3 linked regions of the Mus musculus genome follow. The protein of the gene in region 1 purifies or fractionates together with the protein of each later gene. This does not show direct contact. Links are inferred from orthologs where the notes say so. Each region holds a gene or a part of one and is shown in the gene's direction. Other genes may lie near its edges.

Region 1 (3,645 bases):
TCTGCGTAGTCTGCTGATTGCTTTCCTTAAATGCCTGCACATTCCTCAAATGTGGCCGTCTTAGAAAAGGCTTCAGCGCCTGCTCAGGCTGCTCTCCCCGTACTGTGTCCTCTCCGGCTGTTCTTGCATTCACGGCCCACATGCACGTGCACACCAGCTTACCACGTGCACGTGCACACCAGCTTACCCAGCTTCCTGGGAAGCTTTGTGTCGAGGTTTCCTTGTGCTCCTAAATTAATCCAGGAAGAGCTGACATCTCTGTGCTCTTGCTTCTTCCTCCTCAAGAGCAGGAAGAATTTTCGTTTTGGCAGGTCTTGAGTCTTTCTGGAATGTTATCTTGCGTATGTTTTGCATATTTCTAATTACATTATTGAGTGGATTTTATCTTCTTTACTACATGTTGTTTTACTCTGGTAACTGGTAGGGGTTTGTGCTGTTTTTTGTTTAGTTTTTTTCTCGTTATTTGTATTCTGCTATCTTCCCTCCTCCTCCCTCCATCCCTCCCTTACTCCTCTTTCTTTCCTTCATTCTGTTATTTTTATCATTGACCCTCTGTGAGTGTCTAGGATGTGCTTATATTAAAAAATATATACTCCTGGGGCTGGAGAGATGGGTCAGCAGCTAAGTGCACTTGCTGCTCTTGAAGAGAGCCCAGGTTTAATTCCCAGCACCTACATGATGGCTCACAACCACCTGTAACTGCAGTTCCAGAGGATCCAACAGTCTCTTTTCACTTCCATGGGCAGGGGGCTTGCTTGTGGCTCATAAATATATATGAAGGCAAAACACTTGTACATAAGAACTAATGTAGCTGGGCGTGGTGGTGCATGCCTTTAATCCCAGCACTCGGGAGGCAGAGGCAGGTGGATCTCTGAGTTCAAGAACAGCCTGGTCTACAGAGTGAGTTCCAGAACAGCCAGGGCTACACAGAGAAACACTGTCTCAAAAAACAAAACAAAAAACTACAAACTCTCCCGCATGTCTGTTGGTCCAGCGCACTCTCATGCTGCCCTCTGATCAGCATAACAGCTCAGAGCCAGCTCAGAAGACACGTGTACTGATCAGTGTTTTAACCCTAGGCAACGCATCTCCTGTGCTGGATCCTTCTGACTTGATCCTGACTCGAGGAACCTTGGATGAGGAGGATGAAGAAGCTGACAGTGACACGGATGACATTGACCACAGAGGTGAGAGGCAGCCGGTGGACATAGCAGCTGCCCCATCCACTCAGGAGATTGTCACTGTTGAGAGGAGATCCTGAGCAAATGGCCAGGGACAGGGGAAAGGGAAGATGGTAGAGCACACAGCACCAGCAAAGGGTTCCATGTGAAGAGTTCTGACCTTGCTATGTGTTCTAATTTCATTCTGTTGCCGTGGCAAAATAGCCCAATGGAAAGCAATGCAGTGGAGAAAGGGATTGTTTCCGCTCCTATTGCAGCTTCCATGCTGTGGAGAGGCCAGGTGACATCCACAGCAGGAGCAGGGAAACGAATGCATGCCCCTCACTTGTCTTCGTGTACTCAGCTTGGTCTCTCTGCCACACAGTACAGGACCTCTGTCTAGCGAGTGGCCCCCACACAGTGGGCAGGGTCCACTAACGTACCTTTCATGTCTTGTTACTTCTCCTGAGTTTGACTCAGTTAGCAGGTGCTGCTGTTTCCGTCTGTTACCGGTGTTTTGGTTGATAAGTGGTGAAGGCTGTACCCCCTGCTAAAAGCATTGATACTGAGCAACATCCTGAGTCGCTCACCCTGGGGTGGGGGGCCAGCAGGCTGTTTCATAAGCCTTCCAAGTGACTGCTGTGCTCATTGCAGAACTTCACAAAGCTATTTCTTGAGCCCCCTTTGCTTCTACCGGGGGAAAACATGAGAAACATGTCTCTGAGCCCCCAGCAATCTGTTTTACTGGCTCATAGACAGGAGGAAGCAATGTTGGGTTTTAAAGATGTGGTTTTGTTTTTTTTTCCTTTCTGTGTGTGAGTGTCTTGCCTGTGTGTCTCTGTGTGTACTATGTGAATGCCTGGTCCCCATAGAGGTCATAAATCCCCTGGAAATGGAGGTACAGATATCGTGAGCCACCATGTAGGTGCTGGGAACAAACCTAGGTCCTATGCAAGAGCAACAAGTGCTCTTAACTGCTGAGCCGCCTCTCCAGCCCCCAAGTGTTTGAGTGTTTGCCAGTCACGTGTGCTGGTGCTAGGCTGAGGCTGTGAGTGAGTGGACTCTTCTTTCTCTGGCCTGCCTGAGCAGACCTCAGATTAGGATTTTTTGACTTTGATGCTGCATGTTCTAGAAGCCATTTCATTGACTGAGGGTGTAAGTATGTAATTCCTTAAAAGTCATTTCAGCCAGGTGTGGAGGCGCATACATGCCTATAACCTCAGCGTTGGAGAGACAGGCAGGAAGACTATGGGTTCTAGGCCAGCTTGGGATTCATAGCAAGTCCCAGTCTTGAAAAAGTGAAAAATAATTTTAAAATGTATGTCTCTCTTTCTCTCTCTGTCTCTCTCTGTCTCTCTGTCTGTGTGTGTGTGTGTGTGTATGTGTATGACAGGAGCTCTGATTCATTGTCTACTATGAAGGTTTTAAACACAGCACCCTTGTCTCCTGCAGTTACAGAGGAAAGCCGTGAAGAGCCAGCATTTCAGAACTTCATGGAGGAGTCAATGGCACACTGGAAGAGGAACAAGTAGGCCCTCCCACCTGCTGTACAGCTCTGATGTGCTGAGTCTCCATGCAGAGGACATCCTTCCTGTGAACCAGGGCTGCAGTCAAGAGCAGTTTTCTCCCAAATGGTGACTTCTCTGAGGGAAACTGGGCTTAGATGAAGTCTGGTTGAAGGCGGAGCTGGCAGGTGGATGCCCATTCTTGGGTAGCTCCTCCCGATATTTATGCAAGGATGTATTCTCACCGCTCTGGAAGCTGAGAGATAGCTGCTGAGCCTATAACTTCAAGTATCATCGTTTGAACTCAAGTATTTCTGCTGCTGATGGACAGAGAGGACGTCTGTCCCAGAGACGCTTTGGACCTTGACTAGCTGGGTCTGTGGGCACAGCAGGATGGAAAGGAGAGTGTGTGTGTACAGAGGGCAGCACAGTGCCCTGGGCAGCCAGGTCGGATGTGATCTGTGCTCACACGAGGTAGCCCATTTTCAAGAATACTGTTAGGATGGTGACTTGGATAAAGATTTTGACTTTAACTTTGTGGTAAGCTTTCCTGTCATGGTTTGATATTAGAAAGTATGTGATCACTAATAGATTTCCCACTATTAGTTATGACCAAGCCTTAAAGACATGTCTGGTAGGATATAATGCATAGTAGGTTAGTTTCCCATGTCTATCCACCTAACCATGGCCAAAATCATGTCCTTATATTGTACTTAGAACAATACAAAGCATTGTTTGTGACCAGGATTTGGTCCATTCCGTCCATTCAGAGCTAGGATTTGCCCTGGTTCTCAGGAGTGTAGTAAAATCACGAGCCAGGCAGTTCTTATGGATACACCTCCAAATCAGCTTTCCTAGAAACGGGGTCGGGGGTGGGGACGCAGCAGGCTGGCTCATAAGCCTTCCAGGTGACTGCTTTGCTCTTTGCAGAACTGTTTCAGGTCAGCCTGTGACTGAACCCCAGGGCAGGTGACTCAGCC
Region 2 (4,438 bases), on another chromosome or scaffold:
ACGCTCCCTGTCCCCAGCCTGCGTGACCTCCTTGAGGCTCTTGTGATGGTTTGGCTGTTGGCTGTTCTGCAAAGCACTCTTCTGTGTCTTGCAGGTTTAATCCCCCTCACTAGTGATGACATTGTGGACAAGCTGCAGTACTCCCGGGTATGTGTGCTGGTGGGAAGACTGGGGCCACGGGGAGGGGCCGGGGGATTGTTCTCCCTGGAGTCTTCCGGGGTGTCTCCCTTCCAGTTGTTGTGGCTGATGGTGGAGATGATGTCTTAATAGTGTGGTCCTTGGTTCTGATGGAGCATCGGATTGCTCTCAGCACATCCAGGCGTCATCAGTGAGCCTCAAAAGGGAACACACGGGTGGGTGTGGTGGCGCACGCCTTTGATCCCAGAGCTTGGAAAGCAGAGGCAGGCGGCTCTGTGTGAGTTCCAGGACAGCCAGGGCTGTACAGAGAAACCCTGTCTCAAAACAACAAAAAGAGTCCGGGAAACATACCCACTTTTACGTACGTACAGGTCTGCCTCTGTGTCTGAGCAGGTGGGCTAAGGTGAAAAGAGGGCATCAGAGCCCCCGGAACTAGTTACAGGCAGTTGTGAGCTACTGGATTCAGGTTCTGGGAACTGAGCAGGAGGTACTTCTAACAGCTGAGCCATCTCTCCAGCCTCCATTTATTCTTTTCGGTTTTGTTTTCGTTTTTAAGAGAGTCTCACTATGTTGTTCTGGCTGGCCTTGAAGTGAAATCTGCCTGCTCTGCCTCCTGCATGCTGTGGTTATTAAAGGCATGTGTTCCCATGCCTGTCTGAGAAATGTTAATAAAACACCGTTTATTTTTTCCTCTGTAGTTAGTAGATGTTAATGCTTTACTACATTTGCCTGATTTTCCTCTAACCTTTTAGATAATAAGTTGCACGTGCTCTACCCTTCCCTTCTACATACTTGAGCGCATGTCTGTGCTGTAATCCTCTATGGCTAGGTAATCCCTCCCCAAATAATCTAAAACTTGAAAGGTGTTTCGGTTTTTTGGGGTGGTTTGTTTGTTTGTTTGTTTTCCTGTTTTTCCCTTCTTTGTATTTTCAGTTAATTGCCAAGCTGGTCTGCATAAACAGGACTATATAGTCCCATACAACCTTGGTCCCTTGAGATGACCTCTCTAGGCACTGCTATATTAGGAGTGGGCCCCCTAGTGGTCAGCTGTAGCAGTGAACATGGAAAGGAAGTGTAGTTAGTTATCCTGAGGTGAACCAGATGTCACAGCCCAGAAGGGCTGGGACCGTGGTCACCCCTTTTCACCAAGAAGAATCTGGAAAGAGCTGGATAGGAGAAGCAGAGAGTCCAGTCTCCTCATCCTAGCTGTCCTCCTGCCTCAGGACTGCACATGTGAAGAGTTCTGCCCTGAGTGTTCTGTGGAGTTCACTCTCGATGTGAGGTGCAATGAAGACCAGACGCGCCATGTCACCTCCCGAGATCTCATCTCCAACAGCCCCCGGGTTATTCCGGTTAGTGTCTTTGCCCTTCTCTGCCTGCCTCCAAGTGGGACAGATTGGAGTGGGTCTTTATGAGGCAGATGCTAACCTACCCTGTGACCATCTACGTTAACTGCCACCTAGACGTGCTGGTCCTGAGTTCCTGAACAGAGCAGTATTAGTGCCATGTGCCCTATGTTGTTCAAAGACCCCATTAAAGGCCTCTGGGTTCTTTGGACAGCTCTGCCATCTCCTTCTTCTTCTCAGCCTCCTTTCCCCGGATTGACGGATTATAGGCTGCATTTGCTGAGAGACAGTTGCCAGAGGTGACTGAGAGGTGAGAGGCTAATGCATACTTGTTTGGGCTTCCTACAGGTGACATCTCGGAACCGGGATAACGACCCTAATGACTATGTGGAGCAGGATGGTAAGGGGGTGGGGCGGGGGGGTGAATGGGGGTGAGGGGGTGGGGCAGGGTGGTGAGGGGGTTGGGCAAGGGTGGTGAGGGGGTGGGGTAGCATGATAAGAGGTGGGGCAGTCAAGCGGGTGGCCAGAAGATGCAGAGGTCAGATGTGCCCCTTTGAGTTGCCTGGTATCTTTCATTCATCTTTGGACCCTTTGCCAAGATGTGGATTGTCTTCATGCAGTACTACAGGTCACAAGTTGGAGAACTTGCCTCTTTTTGTTCTGGCTCACTCTCACCTCTCCCTGCAGACATCCTTATTGTCAAGCTGAGGAAGGGGCAGGAGCTGAGACTTCGAGCCTATGCCAAGAAGGGCTTTGGCAAGGAACATGCCAAGTGGAACCCTACTGCGGGGGTAGCTTTTGAATACGATCCAGACAACGCACTTAGGCATACAGTGTATCCCAAGCCTGAGGAATGGTATGTTCCTGGGGGGAAGGGGAAGCAGCAGTGGCTGTAGTGAGCGATAGGTGGGTAGTGCTCTGAGAGCCTTGCTACAAGCAGAAGTAGCCCCTGTGCCTCACCTGTGCTTGCCCTCAGGCCCAAGAGTGAGTATTCCGAGCTGGATGAGGATGAGTCGCAGGCTCCCTACGACCCCAACGGCAAGCCAGAGAGGTAAGACCCCAGGCCTGCTTGCGACTGTAATTGTAAATAGAGGTGTGGGAGGCTGTTAGGCAGTCACACACCCAAGCTCACCACACCCCACCCCATCCCCCACCCTGTGATAGAAGAGCTAACTGCCAAACTCACATACACATCTTGAGTTGGTCTTCCTTCCTCTCCGGTCACTGTGAGGAAAGGGGCCTTATTAACCCCTGCTGTTTCTGGCCTTCCTGTTTGGGCTCAGGCCAGAGCAAGACTGACCATAGCCCTCCCCTGAAGTGCTGAAGGGCTGTAGCCAGCATCGTGTTTGGTTTTTCCTGCTGTCTCTGGTGTAGAAATGCACATAGAGTCATCTTAGGGTTTGTACAGCAGTGCTCTTTAGAAGTAGCTGGAGCTTCCTCGGGGAGCTGTGAAGTGGATCTGGACCATTGCGCATAAGGAGTCTCAGGAAAAGGGAAGACCCTGTCCTGAGCTCAGGGCCTCATAGGAATGGAATCAAGTCTCAGAGGACAGAAGGGAAGTCTGCCCGAAGCCGGAGCTTTGCCTCACGAGAGCTCTCACCCCACTCTCGTCTCTCAGGTTTTACTACAATGTGGAGTCGTGTGGCTCACTGCGCCCTGAAACCATTGTCCTCTCAGCCCTGTCGGGGCTAAAGAAGAAGCTGAGTGATTTACAGACTCAGTTAAGCCATGAGATCCAGAGTGACGTGCTCACCATAAACTAGCCACGGCTCGCCTGCCTCCGAAGACTAGGTTCACGGTGGCTGGACTTCAGGCCTCGGGAGCCCTTGTAGTTTCTGGGCTATGCACTGCACAGTCTGCCCCCTGGAAGGCCATCGGGGAGATGGCCAGGGTCCCACTGGTGTTAGACATGGCGGGTTTTATTAAGCGTTGAGCATCCCGGGCCCTACTGTAGTGGTTTTCAGGCAGCATGGGGGGAAACACACACCAGCACGGAAAAGAAGGAATATTTATTGATCAACAGTAGTTGTCTTTTTAAAAGTTTTTATTTTTGGCAATAAAGAGCACAACATAATCTCCTTCATGCGTCATCGTGCCACTAACTGAGCCAGTTTTGCCTCCCTCCCAAAGGGTTGGGCCCATTTCTTGTACAAACTAGCTGACCTCTGGGTGGTCATTTCCTGGGTCACAGAGTTGGGCTGGCTGTGCCACCTCCCTGGCTCTAGGGCACCCCCTGGGAGGGGCCCCTTATCATTCTGCCACACATGTGAACAGTGGTTATTTACAAGGTCTGTTCCCACAAATCAGAACCCTAAAGTATTAAAAAACAGAAACACGCAACAAAAGGTTTGATGTGAATAGAAAGATAGCCCTTCTGCACGGTAGTCAATAAATACCAGCACTAGAAAATCAATTGCTTTAATTGCATTTCAGCAGGGAGCCTCAGCACCGTGTGGGGAGATAGGAAAGTCTTAGTTTTGGAATCTGGCCTGGGGTGGCTGGCCTGGGCAAGGGACTCCCCCTGCTGGAGCTTTATACCCCTGGTCAGTGAAGGAGAGCAGCAAGGTGCTCCCCACAGCAGTCCTGCTGCAGTCCTCCCTCCGGGCTGGCCCCAACTGTCCTCTGCTGCCGAGGTAACGGGAGCCCTGCCCAAAGACATCTTCAGCCTACTGAGCAGGAAGGGGCCAGTGCAGAAAGTGCATTTAAAAACCAGATGCCGCCTCTGCTAAACACTCCCAAGTGCAAGGCTGCCACACGGTACAGTGAAGTTTAGGACTCTTCCTGTGTCACTGTAGGCCCAGAGGACAGAGCTACCTGCTGTCCTGGCCCTTGGGCTTCTGAGGAAGAGCCAGCAGACAGCACCAGTCTGATTGTCCCCCTCCTCTGACCCTGGCAGCTCAGGCCATCTTGGCAGCAGGAGAGTTGTATCACTGAGGACAGGCACTGCCACCCTC
Region 3 (3,645 bases), on another chromosome or scaffold:
CGTTACAGGGGTGTTTTTTTTTCAATTGTGGTTCTCAGATAACTCTAGCTTGTGTTGACAATGAACAAGCCAGGACAATGTCCTTTCTTGTTATTTGAGGATAAATTCCTCAGGTTAAAGAATATACACATTTTAAAGATGAGGTAGTTTGTTTGAGGTGTGTGTGTGTGCGTGTGTGTGTGTGTGTGTGTGTGTGTGTTTGAATTTCAAGTGTCCCTTTCAAGACTGTACTCTTATGTTACCAACAACAAAGTGGTGAGCATTTTCAGATGTGAGCTGTACTCATGCACTGTTGTTTATTCTTAGACGTGCCTGTCTGTTTTTTGTTAGGCCTGTGGTTTGGTTAAGAACTTGGCCCTCATGACACATATAACAACTGACATGGAAGATGGACCCATTATTAAGTTAGCTGGGAACTTGGGAGTAGAAGATGTGAATTTATTATGTGGAGAAGAGCTCTCTTACCCAAATGTGTTTCTTGTCTTCCTGAATGGTAGGTATGCTACAAAGATGTGCTCCTCCTAAGCCAGTGTTTCTCAACCTGTGGGCCACAGCCCCTTGTGGGTGGGGGGAGTTGAATGACATTTTCACAGGGGTCACATATCAGACATCCTGTATATCAGATATTCACATTACAGTTTATAACAGTAGCAAAATTACAGTTATGAAGTAGCAGTGAAAATAATTTTATAGTTGGGAGTCCCCATAACATGAAGGTCTGTATTAAAGGGTTGCAGCATTAGGAAGGCTGACTACAGTCCAAAGCTAGGTTTTGGAAATAGAGAGACAATACATTATTATTTTTATTTGAAGCATAAAGATATTTTAATTCTGGCCCTAGATAGACCTTGATTTATTTTTATTTGTTTTTATTGAAAAATAATTTTCATGCAAAATATTCTGGTTATGGGTTCTTCTTCCTTGTTTCCTCCTAGGTCCCCCTACCTCCTTGCCTTACAATTCTGTGACTTCTTTTTCTAGCTCTGTAGAAAACAAAATAGGCAAAACAAAATGAAGCAAAAACCCAAACTAGAATAAGACAAAAACAAAGAAGGAACAGAAGAAGCAGTATGCAGGTGGGCGCACGCGCACACACACACACGTACACACACACAGACACACACATGCACACACGTACACACACACATACACCATCAAAATCCTGTAAAAGCAAAAGACTAGTATGGTAAGGAAAAAAAAAACCCAAACAAAGCATTATGAGACCAAAAAATTCTTCAAAAATACCACTGAGTTCTTTTTATCTTGGCCATCTACTGCTAAGCATGGGGCTATCCTTAAAGTGGTTAGTATACCCAGTGAGACTCCACTGATGAAAGTAATTTTTCTTTGTGGGTGGTTGTCAGTTGCAGATAGCTTCCACAGATCCAAGCCAGGTGGGGTCCCAGGGCTGAGAGGAAGTGTAGACACAAGGTCACATCCCTAACCAGGAAGCTATCTCCAGCAGCCCTTGGTTTAAAGGAGGAAAAGTGATAACAGAAACAGTTGGTCTTTTGATTGTGGTCCCCAAGGTTTCAGTAGGTTTCATTGCTGTGATGGGACAGCATGAGCATAGCAACTCTTATCAAGGAAAACATTACATTGGGGCTGGCTCACAGTTTCAGAGGTTCAGTCCATTATCATTGCAGGAAGCTTGGCAGTGTACAAGCAGACATGATGCTGTAGGAGCCAAGAGTTCTGTATCTTGATCTGAAGACAGCCAGCAGGAGACTCTGCCACACTGGCCAGACTTGAGCATATATAAAATTAAGATCTCAAAGCTCCACCTCACAGTAGCACACTTCCTCCAACACAACCACACCTCCAAATAGTGCCACTCCCCATGGGCCAGACATATTCTCACCGCCACACCAAGACTCTGAGGACACAGAACACTGCTGAGGTCCATCTGCTGCTTTCCATCTATTTGCAGCTGCTAAAATATCCATAGTAGGATAAGTTCTGTGTAGTATCTTAGTGGCTAGTTAAATATGCACTCAGTTCTGCAGAAATGATCAGATCGACTCACTTCATACTATCCAGCCTTTGAGTCAGAGCTCAGCAGCTGTGGCAAAGGAGATATTCTGCTGCTTTGGTTCACGTCTCTTTCTTCCTTCATGTGTACTCTGCTTTCTTCAAAGCCCCCAGAGGCTGGTGGCAATGTGCCCACCCTTCTTCTTTTAACTTGGTAGCCCTGTCCTGTCCGATGTGCTCTGGCCATCCCTTTCCCCCATTCAGAGAGTTCTAGCCCTTTTGTATACAGGCTGTGGTGGAAGGGTCTGCCTGAGCACGGCAGTCGGCTGCCTGCCCCCTCCGTGTTTCCCAGGGGGTTGATGGGGGCTGGCTCTTAGTCTGCATGCCACCTGCCTGTGCCAGTGTGAAGCTCCTGTCCTCATCACCATGCTGACAGTTGAGGACAGTCAGGGAGGGGAACACTTGGGGAATTCCTCAGTCAGTGCCCAGTGTGATAGCCACAGGCTTTAAGGCCCGCAGAGCGTCTTTGAGCATACTCTTGTGCTGCTTCCTAGAGCCCGTGAATAAGTTCTGGTGTTAACAACTTTTAAGTGACTATGCCCTGCTTCTCAGTGTTATTACTGGATGGATAATTTAAGGCAGATTATTTTTTGCGCCTGACTCACCTATCTCTTGTCTTTGTTAGGTAACATCCTTGGTGTCATTCGAGACCATAAAAAGCTTGTCAGCACATTCCGGCTGATGCGAAGAGCAGGCTATATCAATGAATTTGTTTCTATCTCCACAAACCTTACGGATCGCTGTGTTTATATTTCCTCTGATGGCGGGCGCTTGTGCAGGTGTGTTGCTGTAGAGACCTGGAGACTCTTTATGTGCACTTTGGAAGAAATGGCCTTGCCTCTAGTTTTAAAGCCTCTTTTTTGTCCTGAAGATAAATTTAATTCAGTTATCCTACAACTTAGAGAATAATGGGAGGTCTGAAAAACAATGGGAGATATTTTCTGTTCTCAGAGAGTTCAGACTGCCGGGAGAGGCGGAAACCATGACGAGTGGCAGCCAGCTGTTCTGGCTCGAGTGGACTCGAGTTGCTGTCTTGTTTTACTGGGTGTGTTGCATGTGTAAGACTATCATCTGAGTTATCTTCATCTTCATGAGGACCTTGGTGGTCTATGAGGCTGAGCCGAATGAGCAGAACTAGAGCACGGTAGAATTGGGCTTTTCCTGGTGGTCCTTAAATGTTACTTGGCTCCACCGATTGTGACCCACCTCTGTATTCTGCCCAGCTTTAAAGTCTTGACATCCTGACCCCTCTGCTTCCTGCAGTCATTCCTCACCCTCTTCCATAAGATTCCACGTACTCTGCATAATGTTTGGCTGTGGATCTTTGCATCTATTTCCATCAGCTGCTGGATCCGAGAGCTTACCCCTAATACTACCTAGAGGGCCAGGAACCAGAGAACCAGGATAGAATCAAACAGGATCAGCAATTAAGAAGGAGAGTGTTGGGGGTGGGGGGAGAAGCCAATGAAACCATCCCTAATGATATTCTTCTGTTATACTCATAGACAGAAGCCTAGGATACTCAGCCTTCTGGTCAATTCTTAGTGCTTCGAGTAAAGTACATTTTTGCTTAACTCAGTCAGAACTGGCTTCTCTTGTGATGTTGCTGAAAAT

The links.
Region 2: the proteins of Gpn1 (region 1) and Polr2c purify together in Homo sapiens (affinity purification with mass spectrometry; 3 studies listed by BioGRID and IntAct, with this or other methods). This does not show direct contact. The link is inferred for Mus musculus from reciprocal best matches to the Homo sapiens genes GPN1 and POLR2C.
Region 3: the proteins of Gpn1 (region 1) and Polr3b purify together in Homo sapiens (affinity purification with mass spectrometry; 4 studies listed by BioGRID and IntAct, with this or other methods). This does not show direct contact. The link is inferred for Mus musculus from reciprocal best matches to the Homo sapiens genes GPN1 and POLR3B.

The regions. Positions count from the first base shown.
Region 1 is NC_000071.6:31,508,220-31,511,864, forward strand, and holds part of Gpn1 (GPN-loop GTPase 1), read left to right. Parts: intron 1-1,079; coding exon 1,080-1,187; intron 1,188-2,612; coding exon 2,613-2,692; 3' UTR 2,693-3,645. UniProt on the Homo sapiens protein: Small GTPase required for proper nuclear import of RNA polymerase II (RNAPII). May act at an RNAP assembly step prior to nuclear import.
Region 2 is NC_000074.6:94,860,350-94,864,787, forward strand, and holds the end of Polr2c (DNA-directed RNA polymerase II subunit RPB3), read left to right. Parts: intron 1-94; coding exon 95-147; intron 148-1,361; coding exon 1,362-1,490; intron 1,491-1,832; coding exon 1,833-1,884; intron 1,885-2,171; coding exon 2,172-2,340; intron 2,341-2,460; coding exon 2,461-2,535; intron 2,536-3,102; coding exon 3,103-3,247; 3' UTR 3,248-3,893; downstream 3,894-4,438. UniProt on the Homo sapiens protein: Core component of RNA polymerase II (Pol II), a DNA-dependent RNA polymerase which synthesizes mRNA precursors and many functional non-coding RNAs using the four ribonucleoside triphosphates as substrates.
Region 3 is NC_000076.6:84,674,227-84,677,871, forward strand, and holds part of Polr3b (DNA-directed RNA polymerase III subunit RPC2), read left to right. Parts: intron 1-330; coding exon 331-493; intron 494-2,656; coding exon 2,657-2,810; intron 2,811-3,645. UniProt on the Homo sapiens protein: Catalytic core component of RNA polymerase III (Pol III), a DNA-dependent RNA polymerase which synthesizes small non-coding RNAs using the four ribonucleoside triphosphates as substrates.